Oryza sativa Japonica Group: one gene and its partners. The main gene of each other region encodes a partner of the protein of the gene in region 2 in a complex. Links are inferred from orthologs where the notes say so. Each region holds a gene or a part of one and is shown on either strand. Other genes may lie near its edges. The genes, in order: protein TIC 20-v, chloroplastic; protein TIC110, chloroplastic; protein TIC 22, chloroplastic.

Region 1 (3,964 bases), on a different chromosome or scaffold from region 2:
AGTCAAGTCCAGGGGGAAGATTTGTCACCATCCACACAGGACATGAACAACGAACAGTACGGTCCCAAGCACATATCGGCAGCACAACCTGCTCTCTTCAACACACAGAGTGTAACCAGTACAACCACCAGTTCCTCCCACATGGCAACAGGCACACCACAAAATTTGGAAAGTAAGTCCATTTCTTATCACCTTTCAACAGTCAGAATTCTTGTAATTAAGAACTAGATCCACTAACTTTAATGTCTTTTAAACGCAGAGAACAGCACACCCAGCAATCAGCCACCATGGCTGAGCATGTCAACAATGCGCCAAGAGTCTGAACCAGGCAACAAAATGCCGAACAAGCATGAGAAACAGACCCTTCACGATGAAAACCATAGTATTTCTAGCGCTTACTCTCAAGGGTCTGTTCCTTAACCATTTGTTACTTCAAGACTAAAGTTAGCACAATATGTAACTAACAGGATACTACTTCAATTTGCAACAGATTATTCAACAGATTGACAGAAGCTCTTAAAAAGTCAGGACTAGATCCATCTCAAGCTAATATAGCTGTAGAGATCAACCTGGCCAAACGAGCAAGAGATAATACTAGTGACAACTCAAAGGTATAGAGCTTTACAAAGTTGATTTATTCATGATGTTTGAACATATAGATCGTCTGCTTAATAATTATTTTGTACCTTTGTCCTGACTTCACATCACAGATCAATGAAGATGAAGAGCCCATCCAAATAACCAAGAGGCGGTGCAATAAAAGCTAGAACTTTTTCTCCAAACTAGAAAATTCAGACATCATCAAGTTCAGACAATAACTTGGTAGCAGCAACCACAATCCCCAATTGATGCAATTATTTTATTTATATTGCAACAACAATTAACTAACCTAAGCATCCATTCATATACCATTGAAGCTCCTTCAGGGGAGGTCTTGAGGACACTCCCCAATTTCTCATTCATCATCTGTAAATGTAGTCCAGAATTCCATATTCTATAGCGAGTATATGTATTGCTATCTCTAAAAATTCCCAATTCAACTCATTCGTTCATACACTTGATTGTAAATTTTGTAATGCCATTGTACCAACCTTCCGTAACTCCATTCATTAAATTGGTTACTACAGCTGTAAATAATCACTGTACTAAACTGAACTTGTGAATTTGCGATCTACTAACATCAATGAGGCATCGAGATGGATGTGTATATCATTTTCCTTTGTTCCTTTTCACCAGCAAGATTTGACAAAAGCTCATCACATCACCTGGCGCTCGGCTGCATCTGCGACGATTGGCAGCCGCGGCGTCTTCCCTAGCAGGCACGCGCCCCCGCCGTAGACTAGGCAGACGAGCAGGAAGAGGAACACGGTGCTCTCCATACTCTGGAAGAGCTCGAAGCCGATCCCGCCACCGGTGGAGGGCGCGAAGGACTGCACGAGGAGGTCGGGGAAGATGAGCAGCACGTCGAGCGCGACGGCCTGCATGGCGTTGAAGCGGACGAAGCGGGAGAAGGCCTGCTGGTTGCGCACGACGGCGAAGTAGAGGGTGAGGAAGAGGAGGAAGGGCGTGAGCGGGGAGGAGCGGAAGAGGCGCGCGGCCGGCGCGAGCGGGCTGAGCAGGGTGCTGAAGAGCGGGAACTGCGCGAGGAGGAAGCGGCCGTGGTGCACGCCGTCGAGGAACGGGTAGAGGTAGGCGACGGCGGCCACCAGGCGGTCGGGCGCCTCCACGGCGCCGCTGTTGTCGTTGTCGTTGTTCGGGTTGGAGGCGCGCGGCGGCGGCGCGGGCAGGCGGGCGCGCGTGGCCCATACCCCGAGCGCGGTCTCGCCCGCGTGGCCGAGGAGCAAGGGGTGGCGCGCCTGGGAGCGTAGCGCTGGCACCGGCGCCGCGCGGCGGAGCGGGCGCGGGGACGAGAGGAGGAGGAGCGAAACGGCGGATGCCATGGAGAAGGGATTTGGTTGGGGGAGCAGCGCGGCGCGGCGCGGCGCGGCGGGTGGGAGCTGAGATTTTTGCGGGTGCAGTGCCGTGAGGTGGGGGAGTTTGGCTGGTTGGGGGGCAGTGGCGCCGCGCGGCTGCGGCCACCGGGGCGAAGGCGAAGCGGGGTTGGGAGCGTGGAGATTTTTCCAGATTTCGGTGGGATGTGGGGCATGTGGCCGAGTGGGAGACGAGGAGATTGGTTGGTGGTGCCTGGTGCGGGAGGGCAACGGCGAGGGCGCCGCGGCAGGCAGGAAGAGCATTAGATGGGCCAAAGCTTGCGGCGCCGTGCTGTTCACTGGGCCGAAAGGATCAGGCGTACTGTTTGGGCCTCGTCTGAGACGCGTTTTGCCGGTTTTCCTGCGTGGGCTACCAGGCTTTCGTCGTACCATATGCATCGCGATTTCGTAATGGGCTAAGGCGTTGTACGCCTCTCAAGCTGAACTCCGCGCGCGCGGCCCGTAATGCCCGTAGTGTGTCGTTCAGCCGTTGGCACTTGACAATTGGCTGGCAGCGATCTGACACACACAAGGAAATGGAGTGATTTTCGTTGTACGAACTGTAATAATGTGTGATTTTCGTTTAATGGATTTGGATGGTCCTGTAAAAGAAAGGGGAGAACAGCTGCAGCCTGCAGCAGCGTGGCACGTTAATCTTCCCTCCGTTCCACACCCGAGAGTTACCTGACTGACTGCTTCACTAGCACAAAAGCAGACTACAAATCTACCAGCATGGTTTACTAATTACACGAGCTATGCAGCTTGCGGATCTACCATTGCCTCATACTGCCATATGAAAATTCATCAATCTCATCCCCATTGCCTCCTACTGGCACGTTTCCCGTCGAATGGAGCACTAGTAAAATTAAATTAAACTCGATCCCAAGATGGCTCTTGCGTCAACGTTAATCCTCCAATCCATCGCACAAAACCAGGCGCATATGCACGAGCTCGAACGTAGCAGTCTAGCAGAGCGATCGCCTAGGGATCGGTTGCACGTCGAGTCCCTCGCGCGCGTTGACGAGTAGAGATCGGCAACGAAGTGGAGACGACGAGGCACTCAACCCCGTGCACTGTGGGATGGGCTCGGCTCGGCTCGGCCGCGCGCTCCGTGCCAGATTCGCGCGCATCTCTAGCGGCTATTCTCGCGGTGGTTCACTGCATTTCGAGCTGAGTGCTCCAACGATCGATGAGACGATAACGAGTAGGACAAGACCACTTAACTGCTGGGTCGCTCTTGGATCAGTGCTAATCCTATCTTAATCGCCACTGAAAACAAGATGCACTGACTCGCACGTTAACAAGTAGAGGCATGTATTACTTCGATACACCACCACAGCACAGCCGTGGTAAAAAAAATGATACATCACCGTGCATTCTGGTGTTCTATAATACACAATCAGAGCATATATACACCCAACAACCAGCAGCATCTGTTCAGACTGCTGAAACAGTTGGTAGTACTACATGGTAAAACTTCAGGAGACGGAGAGAAATTCAAGATGCAAGAGCAGTAATGTCTGCACAAAGTATGAAAAACCTGATATATAACAATTTCCTTCATGAACCATGATCGGTAACGTTCTGTTGAACTAACTTATCCACTAACCCGCCCCCATCTATACATGAATATCTTCTCTTAATCGGCGTAATTAGGAAACCTAACATCCCCAATTCCCCAACATGTAACGTCTATGTACCAACTACATTTGAGTTAAGTAGTCACAAGCTCACAATTGTATCATCCTTTCTTTCAGCTTCCATCCAAACTCCCTTGTCAATGGCCCAACCTGAAGTTCTGAACTGAAAATGCCGAGCCATTTGAGTCAGCTCGGAAGAAACAAGTTCAGCTATGCTGTAAACGTGTAATGGTAATAAGTATACTCGCGCAATTGCGCTATTAAAAATATCATGATGTCCGTAAAAGATTGGGATCTCGCAAGCACTCTTGAGGGTTAGCATAGAAGTAGTCCTCTTCCTTCGGTTTGTCATGA
Region 2 (4,322 bases):
ATGCCGACATGCTATGCACAGTTTAAATGGGTGATGACTATTTCATAATAAAATACCTGAGAATCAGTGACCCCAAAAAGACGTTTCCATGGAAGCAGGAATGTTGATGCATCCCCAAAGACAAGATTTGATACATATATGAGTTTTTGAAATGCCTGCAAAATATTTACAATAGTTATCATCAGGGGCAGTAGAAAGTTTTAAACATCCATTTATGTATCACAGCACAAAAACGTACCCGCCGCTGTTCCATGTCGGCATCCCGGTCCCTTGTTTCCAGCCTTTCTCTGTATATGCGCCTACCAATCTATACAAGCAAAGTCGAAGGCATAAGGAGTAATGGAGGAAATGTGAAAATGGCACTAAAGTAGGAAGAACGTCTCAGGCAAGTAAGATATAAAGGGGCTTGGATCATGAGGCAATACCTCCATGTGCATATTTGCAGCATCTACATCATCGAGCCCAAGAGCATTTTTAAATTTTATAATGGTCTGAACCTCATCACCTTTGAGATCTTCATCTCCTGGAGGAAGTACTGAGTAAAGAAACCTGGAAATAAAATGGAGGTAAGATGGAGCAAAGACACTTCCTATATACACTGCATGACCAAAACAATAAGATGCAACCAATAAATGGTAGATTTTTAAAGATTGATTTTAGAAGAATCTAGTTTAGCTACTGAGTAATGTACAAGAGCTTGCCAAAAGAAGCAACTACGTCTGAGCACATACATACAAAACTGTGGTATGTGAAATGTGATTGGAACAAAATATATATATATACTATATATAGGACACTCATATGGGGCACCATGGTGCCCGGGCACCATGGTATCTAATGTACAAAATCACTCAAATTTTTCAAAATTTTCAAATTGTGAGTATATACCTAGTTATAATAATTCGATTCATATCTATACCTATCAACAAAACAACTCAAATTTAACTTTATTTCACAATCCATGATTACATACCTAACTAATTATATGTATGGATGCTATATACCTAGAATCAAAATCTAACAAAAACAAGTTCAAATTCAGTACAAACATGCTTTGAACTAGTTAGTAAAGTAGTTAATGTTAATACCTAAGTAATTGAAAAAGTTTCATACTCATTTGAATTGGGTATATACTCAATTTCAACAATGGTGCCCGGGCACCATGGAGCACCAAACAAATTTACTATATATATATATATATATATATATATATATATATATATATATATATATATATATATATATATATATATATATATATATATATATATATATATATATATATATATATATATATATATATATATATATATATATATATATATATATATCGAGATGTCCGCATTGATAGATTGGCAATAAAAATGATATTAGTAAATATTATTTTACGTAATATTTTAGCTGTTCTTTGTATATTTCAAGGTATATAATAATATAAATTACTGGATGTAATGGTTGAAGCTCAAATTGCATATCGACAACTAAAAACTGCAAAATAACACCATACTTTGGGACGGGTGAATATTAAGAGAAGAGAGGGGAAACATCCAAGAACAAATACTTGTGTCTAGGAGAAAACAATAGCTATAATAAGGGCACTTGAGCCAAATTCAACACATAGAACACAACAGAATTAGTGTCATAAATACAGTTAGGCTTAGAGGCCATTTCCGTATGGACATTCTTTACCAACATTCAAATAAAGCATTGGAAACAACTGGACAACAGGTGCCAAGAGGATCACCTGGCATACAAATCACAGAGCTCTGCTTTGAAGGCTGCGTCCTGTGTACTAACTCCATATCTGAAACAAAATAAACAGGTAAGACTTTTTGCTTCTGTGTGTGTGGGTGGGGGCAATGTTACATTGAGCACTGCTGCACATACTTAAAAATTCTTACACAAAATGATATCAGCTGTTTGATTTAACTAGATAGGAGTTATAGGAAATGTAGATGAACTCATAACATGACACATTAGTGTAAAGAGAGTTTAATAAGAAAAATGTAGTACGTATAGCCTTTTCCTTAAACATTTTAGTGCAAAAATATAACTATATGTCCCATCCCTAAAGGTAATTTTAGCCGATCAAATGTATTATCGAAATAATTATAGGTTCCTTATTCGCTGAAACAAGCTACACCAAAATTTTACTAGCATTCCGAAAACAAATGGGAGCTTCAAAAATAAATGAGTAAATGCTAGGAGGGCGCATAAATTGGAAGGAAAATACAGATCACATTGCAGGGTGGGAGTCAAGACATCTGATATATAATCGAATCGAGCATACGGGCCATACGGCCAATGCAGCACACCTACAATATAGTCGAGCAATCGAGACGACTCACTTGGTCGCGAGGGCCTCCACCTCGCCGCTCTCCAGCTTGGTGGGGTCGTCGCATCCGGCGACGTAGTTGTGCAGCCCGACGGCGGCGACCTCCGGCACGACGGAGTTCACCGCGGCGGCCCCGGCGACGCTGGCCGCCCCGAGCACCGCGGCGCCCGCGACCGCCACGGCCCTCGACCCCCCACCCGCGCGGAGCCCGATGCCGTACCCCGCCGCCACCGCCGCCGCGGCCACCGCCAGCTCCGCCGCCGTCCTCGCCGCGGGCGGCAGCGCCTCCACCAGCGGCTGCACCCCCGCCAGCTCCCTCCTCGGCCCGAACACCTCCTCCCCCGCCCCCACCGCCGCGCGGCACAGCAGCCTCAGCCCGCGCCTCCCAGCGCGGAGCCTCGCCCCCACGGAGGAAGAGGAGGCGCGGGGTCTCCGGGGAGGGAAGCGGAGGAGGGGGAGGGGCTTGAGCGGCGCGAAGAGGAGGGGCGCGGGCGCGGGCGAGGGCGAGGGCTTCGCGGAGGCCAGGGCGAGCTCCATGGTCGTTGTCGTGGGATGATGGATCCCCTGCCGCCTCGGTGTTCGCGGGCGGCTACTCCACCGTCGTGGTGGTGGTGGTCCTCGTCGGCGGCGGCGGCGAAGGGTGGCGACGGGTGGTGGGGGGGAGGAGGTGGTGGTGGATGAGGCGGAAGAGGCGAGGTGGAGGAGGAGGAGATGGGATAGCGTTACGAGGCGGGGATTGGTGAGGTCGGGGCAGGGGCGGCTGGACCAAAGGGAAGGGTTGGGGTTGGGTGGGCGCCTGCGACCAGCGGTAGACGTGCGGTGCACCGGGAGAGCGGGTTGTCGCCAGGTGATGGCGTCCGGTGTATCGTATACTGTATGCATGCATTGCATCTCACATGAACAGGGCTACACAAGTATACTGGTTGTTGGTATTGGTATTGTGGAATGCGTTTCTCCCACGAAAAATAAATAGGAACCATCCAAATTATTCAGTTGTTATACTTCCTCCGTTTCACTAACATCTATATGAATGTGGGCAATGCTAGAAAGTCTTATAACCTGAAACGGAGGGAGTATTTTTTAGACGGATCACCGAGGAATGAATTGCTCACATAAATATATTACATCAAATGAACTTACACGGAATAAATAGAGTGAATACATGGGAGTCACCCCAAAAGACACGTGAGACACACTAAAAGAAATACGAGAGAGAGAGAGAGAGGAGGTGTGTGATGTTTTCCACCAATAAGACCACGAAACCAAACTCCTAGTCAGGATTACTCGGTTACTTATACTTCTAAAATTGTATTGATGGTTGTTTTATGCGATTATCTTCTTCTTCTTAGAAGGAGGTAATTATGATTGTCAATATTGGGCACTAGCTTGTTAGACTACGGTGAAAACAAAGGGGAGCAGAAGGTTACATACTGTCAATCTCTACAATAAAGTCATTAAGGGTGAGAAAAATATAATAGTGTGAAAGTAAATTCATCATACGAGATGAAAAATAATATGTAAACAATAACGCATCTGGAGGGACAAGCGGGAACGACGGAGGTGGTGGTGGTGAGAGAGAGTTTAGCTTGCACATCTATAAATGGTGGCCTGTGAATAATATGGTGATTTCTAGGAGAGATAAATAGTGGTAAATACGTATTGTATATGGGGTTTATTTCGATCACAATTAGACGTATGTTAGATGAGTTTATCCTATGTCGTACATGAGCAATCATTCATATGATGGCTACTTATTACACGTCATTCTCAACATTCAAATGTTACAGTAGTATTTGAAACATTTGGTTAAAAGATGTGAAATTTAATAGAAAAATTAGGCTCGCAATTATGACCTCTCACACACGATGTTGAATGGGATGTATATATATAGATGTCGTGCATAGCATTGCTTTTCTACAATTTGTTTTGTTCTCAGAAGTCATTTTCGATGTCTATTATAAGTGTCCATAACACATTTCATGTGATT
Region 3 (4,322 bases), on a different chromosome or scaffold from region 2:
GCTTTTATTCCACGTGATTTTTCATGTCATACTGCAATAAACATGTAACCAACTGCGTTGATGGACCTAAAGCTGTGTACTTCAGTTTTTTCCTTGATAAGAAAATCAGGGCTTCCCTTGTTCTATGACAATCGAAACATCAGAAGATCTGATATTCCATGAAAAGGTTTAGACTACTGCACGCCTAAACTTTCAATTGAAAATTTTTGACTATCCGTTTATCTTCTAGTCCTATTTTAGTACAACAAGTCGTGCCAATAAGATAAGGCTAAAGCTTCACAAAATGATGCACACATGTGACAAATAACGAGAAATTATGACAGGACAGTTCATGCATTTACATTTAATAAATAGGCATGGGCTAATAACTAACAGGAACAAGCAGATAGCTTCAGAACCTACCTATTAGTCCATGCACTTTGGTAATATTAAGTTCACGAGTAATTTATACTGAGTCAAGATATTAATCAGCAAATCAACTTTAATACATTTATTGTTAATATTCTAAAATACATTTAATAATCGCAAAGGGTATGTCTCAATGCTTTCCATAAAAGTATATTTTTCAGTAAATAATACAGACATGAGTATTACCTGGAAAACAGGAACACCATCAAAAGCAGTTAAGCCAGATTTTAACTGAAAAAACGAAGGATAATCGTCACTGGGCTGAAGTAAGTTTGTTAGCATTCTTACATTAGTGAAACAATGCATAAGATAGCAATAATCTACATACTATACACTGTTAAGACGTCAGCTCTGATATACTCATGATTCATGAGTGAAAAGGCATGAGTTGTACATTCCATGATATACTCTGAAGTCTAACCACTGAATGTGGACAGTCCACACCAAGAAACAGGAAAAACAATACAGATTATCTATATTTTAAAATGCCACCTTCCCATATGTTTTTTTTTCTTTTGCAAGGAAGGGACTTTCTCCTTATGAAATAGGCTGACATGTGACAGCACTCCATGTGTTCTGCGTGCATCTGTCTAGTGTATGCATATCATTTGTGCATTCTGGTGAAGGCAATGATTAGTGACAGTACAACTTCTCTACCAATAATATATACAAGGAACCAAGTCCATGTGTAAAGTCTTGAGTGGTGATACAGAAAATAGGTACACACATACCCAAACTGCAAAGATCTCGGACTGTTGGTAAATAGTTAAAAACATTAAATGGGAGTAAAATTGGTATATAAGGAGTCCATTGGAATTTTGGAAGATGCAATGGCTGCATTGATGCTTTTAAGGAGTAATGCTGTCAACCTGAGGAACTGAATTCCACTTTTCTAGTGAGATAGAATGATGGCCAGATGGGCGTACTAAACATATCCACTTATAGATAAGATGGAGCAAAGAGCCACAAATCCAGAGAAGAACTAACCTCCAACGCATTCTTAATTTGAAGAGGGTCAGGTAAGAACCGAAATGCAATACCTTCAGCCTTCAACATGTAAACCTGCATTTAGAAGGACGGCTTAAGGTATATTTACATTGTAAAACATAAAAAATAATCAGCATAGTTAAATGTAAGCAATATACTAGTTGTATTGAATGAAGTAGAAACGAGTGAAGTTGCAACGAGGCTAGCCTAAGCCCAAGAACCCTCAAGCATGAATATGCAAGAAAAGCATGGGTGTTGTAAGAAAAGATAGACTAAGCTAGGTAAAAGGGGCAGCACATAAGAAACGGCAGCTTTCCTTGATTTGCTCTTGGAAGAAATCCAGGTCCCACTTTGCTACTCGTTAATATGTCATTCAGTTACTAAATTATCATACAACTGTATGTCCCTATTTAACTCTTGCATAAACCCAAATGCTCCATAACTCTTCCTATGCAGAGTTGGTCCTAGAAGAGTGATGACAAAATTGATCACAAAATATCGATTTAATCCCACCTGATCAAGCGTAATCGGCACCACTTTTGCCCCTCTCCCTACCACCGGCTGCCGCATCCTCACCTAAACCACACAAACTCCCAAACCATTAGGGCGAAAAGAACAAATCAAACAGCAAAAGGCATAACAGATGGGAAGATGAGGATACGTGGGTGAGGAGAGCGTCGGCGTCCTCGGAGCGGAAGCAGAGGAGGCCGAGGGAGCGGAGGCCGGTGGCGGGGTCGGAGACGAGCACGAACTCGTTGCTGGAGTTGCAGACGGTGAAGACGGGGGTGCCGGTGAGCGCGCGCGCGACCTCGTCGGGCGCGAGCGCGAGGGAGAGGGAGGCGGAGGCGCCCTGCGGCCCCGGGGGCGCCGCCGACGCCGTCACAGCAGCGAGGGCTGGGCGCGGCGGCGCGGCGAAGCGGGACGCGAGGCGGGAGAGGTGGTGGTGGAGGAAGGAGGAGGCCGCGGCGAGGGGGTTGGGGGGCAGCGACGAGGAGGAGGAGGAGGAGGAGGGGGCCGACGGGTTGGACATCGGGGCGGCGGCGAGCGGGAGGGAGGAGGAGGAGGAGGAGGAGGAGGAGGAGTTCGGCGGCGGCGGCGGCATCGTGGTTGGCTGGTTGCTGCTGGGTTTTCGGCACGCGACGCGACGGACGACTTGGATGGCGGCGCGCGGAGGTGTCGTGTTGCTCGGCGTCGCCGAGGAGCGGGCCGCGGGCGGCGTGCGGATTCGGTCGAGCCGCACCGTCTGGCCTCGTGGAGTCGTGCTGCACTGCAACTGGTGTGGCCTTGGTTGGGTTTGGTCGGGGGGTTTTGCTTCGGCCAATCCATTATCATTTTTTTTTTCAGTGAAAATATGTTAAGCTCAATTATCAATTTTTTTCAGTGAAAATATGTTTAGTTACAACTTACAATATGGAGGATGAAATTAGCTTCTAAGAGCATCACCAATAGAATTGGAATTATTCGCCCCTAAATTTTTCAACTCCGCGCACGCTGTCTGGGGAAGAACAGAGATCCAAGGGTGAGTGGGTGACTACCGTCTCTGTACCTCTACGTATCATGTGCTGGCCAGCGCGGCTTGCCTTGCTTAGGTGGAGGTCCAATTGCTTGCCGCATTGGCACCTCATCGTCGTGGAGGCACAGGCGGCACGGGGAGGGAGCACAAAGGAAGAGGAGGGGACGTGGATCGGATCGAGCTACGACGTAACGTCAGGTGCGTGCACTGTCCATCTATCATCCAATGGCTGTTGTTTCTCTTGCCTTCAGTCCAAACAAATTAATCAGTCTCCTTCTTAAAAAGCCCAAATTAATCAGTCTACTTCTTGAAAAGCCCTCAGAAAAACAGAGATCTAAGGGTAAGTGGGTGACTACCGTCTCTCTACCTCTACACATCATGTGCTGGCCAGCGTGCAAAGGAAGAGGACGGGACGTGGATCGGATCGAGCTACAACGTAACATCATGTGCGTGCACTGTCCATCTACCATCCAACGGTTGTTGTTTTTCAGTCCAAACAAATTAATCAGTCTCCTTGAAAGCCCTCAGATCCAGCAAGTAGCTTTACAGATGAGGCAAATATGAGGACTGTTCAAATGAGTATGAACGCACGCACGCAAACCTTACCCCTATGAGCATCTTCGAAGACTGGGCCGGCAAATGCATCCTGGAGATTGACGAAATCACCACGGGCGCCTCGTTGTCGACGGGTACGTCGCCTACCACTGAAAGCACAAAGCCGTTAAATGCTGAAAAGTTTGCTTCCATGGGGAGTCAAACCCAGGACCTAAGGTGCTACTGAGACTCTTGTAACAACTATGCTACATGCGCTTTCGCAAACATACTTAGCCATTATTATCATTGACTCATTATGATATTATATAGCATCCTTATAAATACCAATACAATTAAAGTACTGCGGACTAATAAAGTGCCAAATCATTAAATTGTCCATTGTGGTGCCTAAATTATCTTGGCCCTATTAACTAATGATTAGTGTAAGTAACCATTTTCTCAATCATCGATTGCGTTTTAGATATTATCTTACTTTTTTAACCTCTAAAAATCTATACTAGTATAGCCTTTACCAAACACCAATTGAATTCCCCTTTGTTAGTAAGCTATCGATGGTCAGTTTAAATTGGGGCCTAAAGAGATCGACAAAGATCACACATAATTTCTCCAAATCCCGCAGTGATCGATGAAACGAGAGTAAAAATAGAGAGTGGAATCTCCGAGACCAAAATCAAGTCAACACAAAAGATGTGCAAAAACACAAACATACACAGCACAGCGCGCAATCTCACACAGTTACGTACGTACATCGATCCTGATCACGCACACTTGTCGATCACAGTATGAGAGAGAGGGAGGTTAATTAATTCAGTAGTAGGAGGCGCCGAGCTCGGCGATCTTGACGTTGAGGTGCCTCTGC

The links.
Region 1: protein TIC110, chloroplastic (region 2) and protein TIC 20-v, chloroplastic share a complex: the UniProt entries of both Arabidopsis thaliana proteins name them as parts of the tic complex. The link is inferred for Oryza sativa Japonica Group from reciprocal best matches to the Arabidopsis thaliana genes TIC110 and Tic20-V.
Region 3: protein TIC110, chloroplastic (region 2) and protein TIC 22, chloroplastic share a complex: the UniProt entries of both Arabidopsis thaliana proteins name them as parts of the tic complex. The link is inferred for Oryza sativa Japonica Group from reciprocal best matches to the Arabidopsis thaliana genes TIC110 and Tic22-IV.

What each region holds. Positions count from the first base shown.
Region 1 is NC_089036.1:30,721,744-30,725,707, reverse strand, and holds protein TIC 20-v, chloroplastic, read right to left. Parts: upstream 2,164-3,964; 5' UTR 1,941-2,163; coding exon 1,257-1,940; 3' UTR 846-1,256; downstream 1-845. Other genes in the region: transcription factor BIM2, read left to right, coding at 1-172, 260-407, 491-611, 711-767; rhamnogalacturonan I rhamnosyltransferase 1, read right to left, coding at 3,880-3,964. UniProt on the Arabidopsis thaliana protein: May be involved in protein precursor import into chloroplasts. Not redundant with TIC20-I, TIC20-II or TIC20-IV.
Region 2 is NC_089044.1:19,363,717-19,368,038, forward strand, and holds the start of protein TIC110, chloroplastic, read right to left. Parts: upstream 3,077-4,322; 5' UTR 2,873-3,076; coding exon 2,349-2,872; intron 1,805-2,348; coding exon 1,745-1,804; intron 550-1,744; coding exon 426-549; intron 308-425; coding exon 239-307; intron 156-238; coding exon 57-155; intron 1-56. UniProt on the Arabidopsis thaliana protein: Involved in protein precursor import into chloroplasts. Forms a voltage-dependent cation-selective channel at the inner envelope of chloroplasts, which specifically responds to a transit peptide.
Region 3 is NC_089040.1:5,941,577-5,945,898, forward strand, and holds the start of protein TIC 22, chloroplastic, read right to left. Parts: upstream 2,676-4,322; 5' UTR 2,498-2,675; coding exon 2,057-2,497; intron 1,972-2,056; coding exon 1,909-1,971; intron 1,471-1,908; coding exon 1,396-1,470; intron 640-1,395; coding exon 595-639; intron 1-594. Other genes in the region: uncharacterized protein, read right to left, coding at 4,271-4,322. UniProt on the Arabidopsis thaliana protein: Involved in protein precursor import into chloroplasts. Imported into the intermembrane space via the Toc translocon. May be involved in the import pathway used by proteins without a cleavable N-terminal pre-sequence.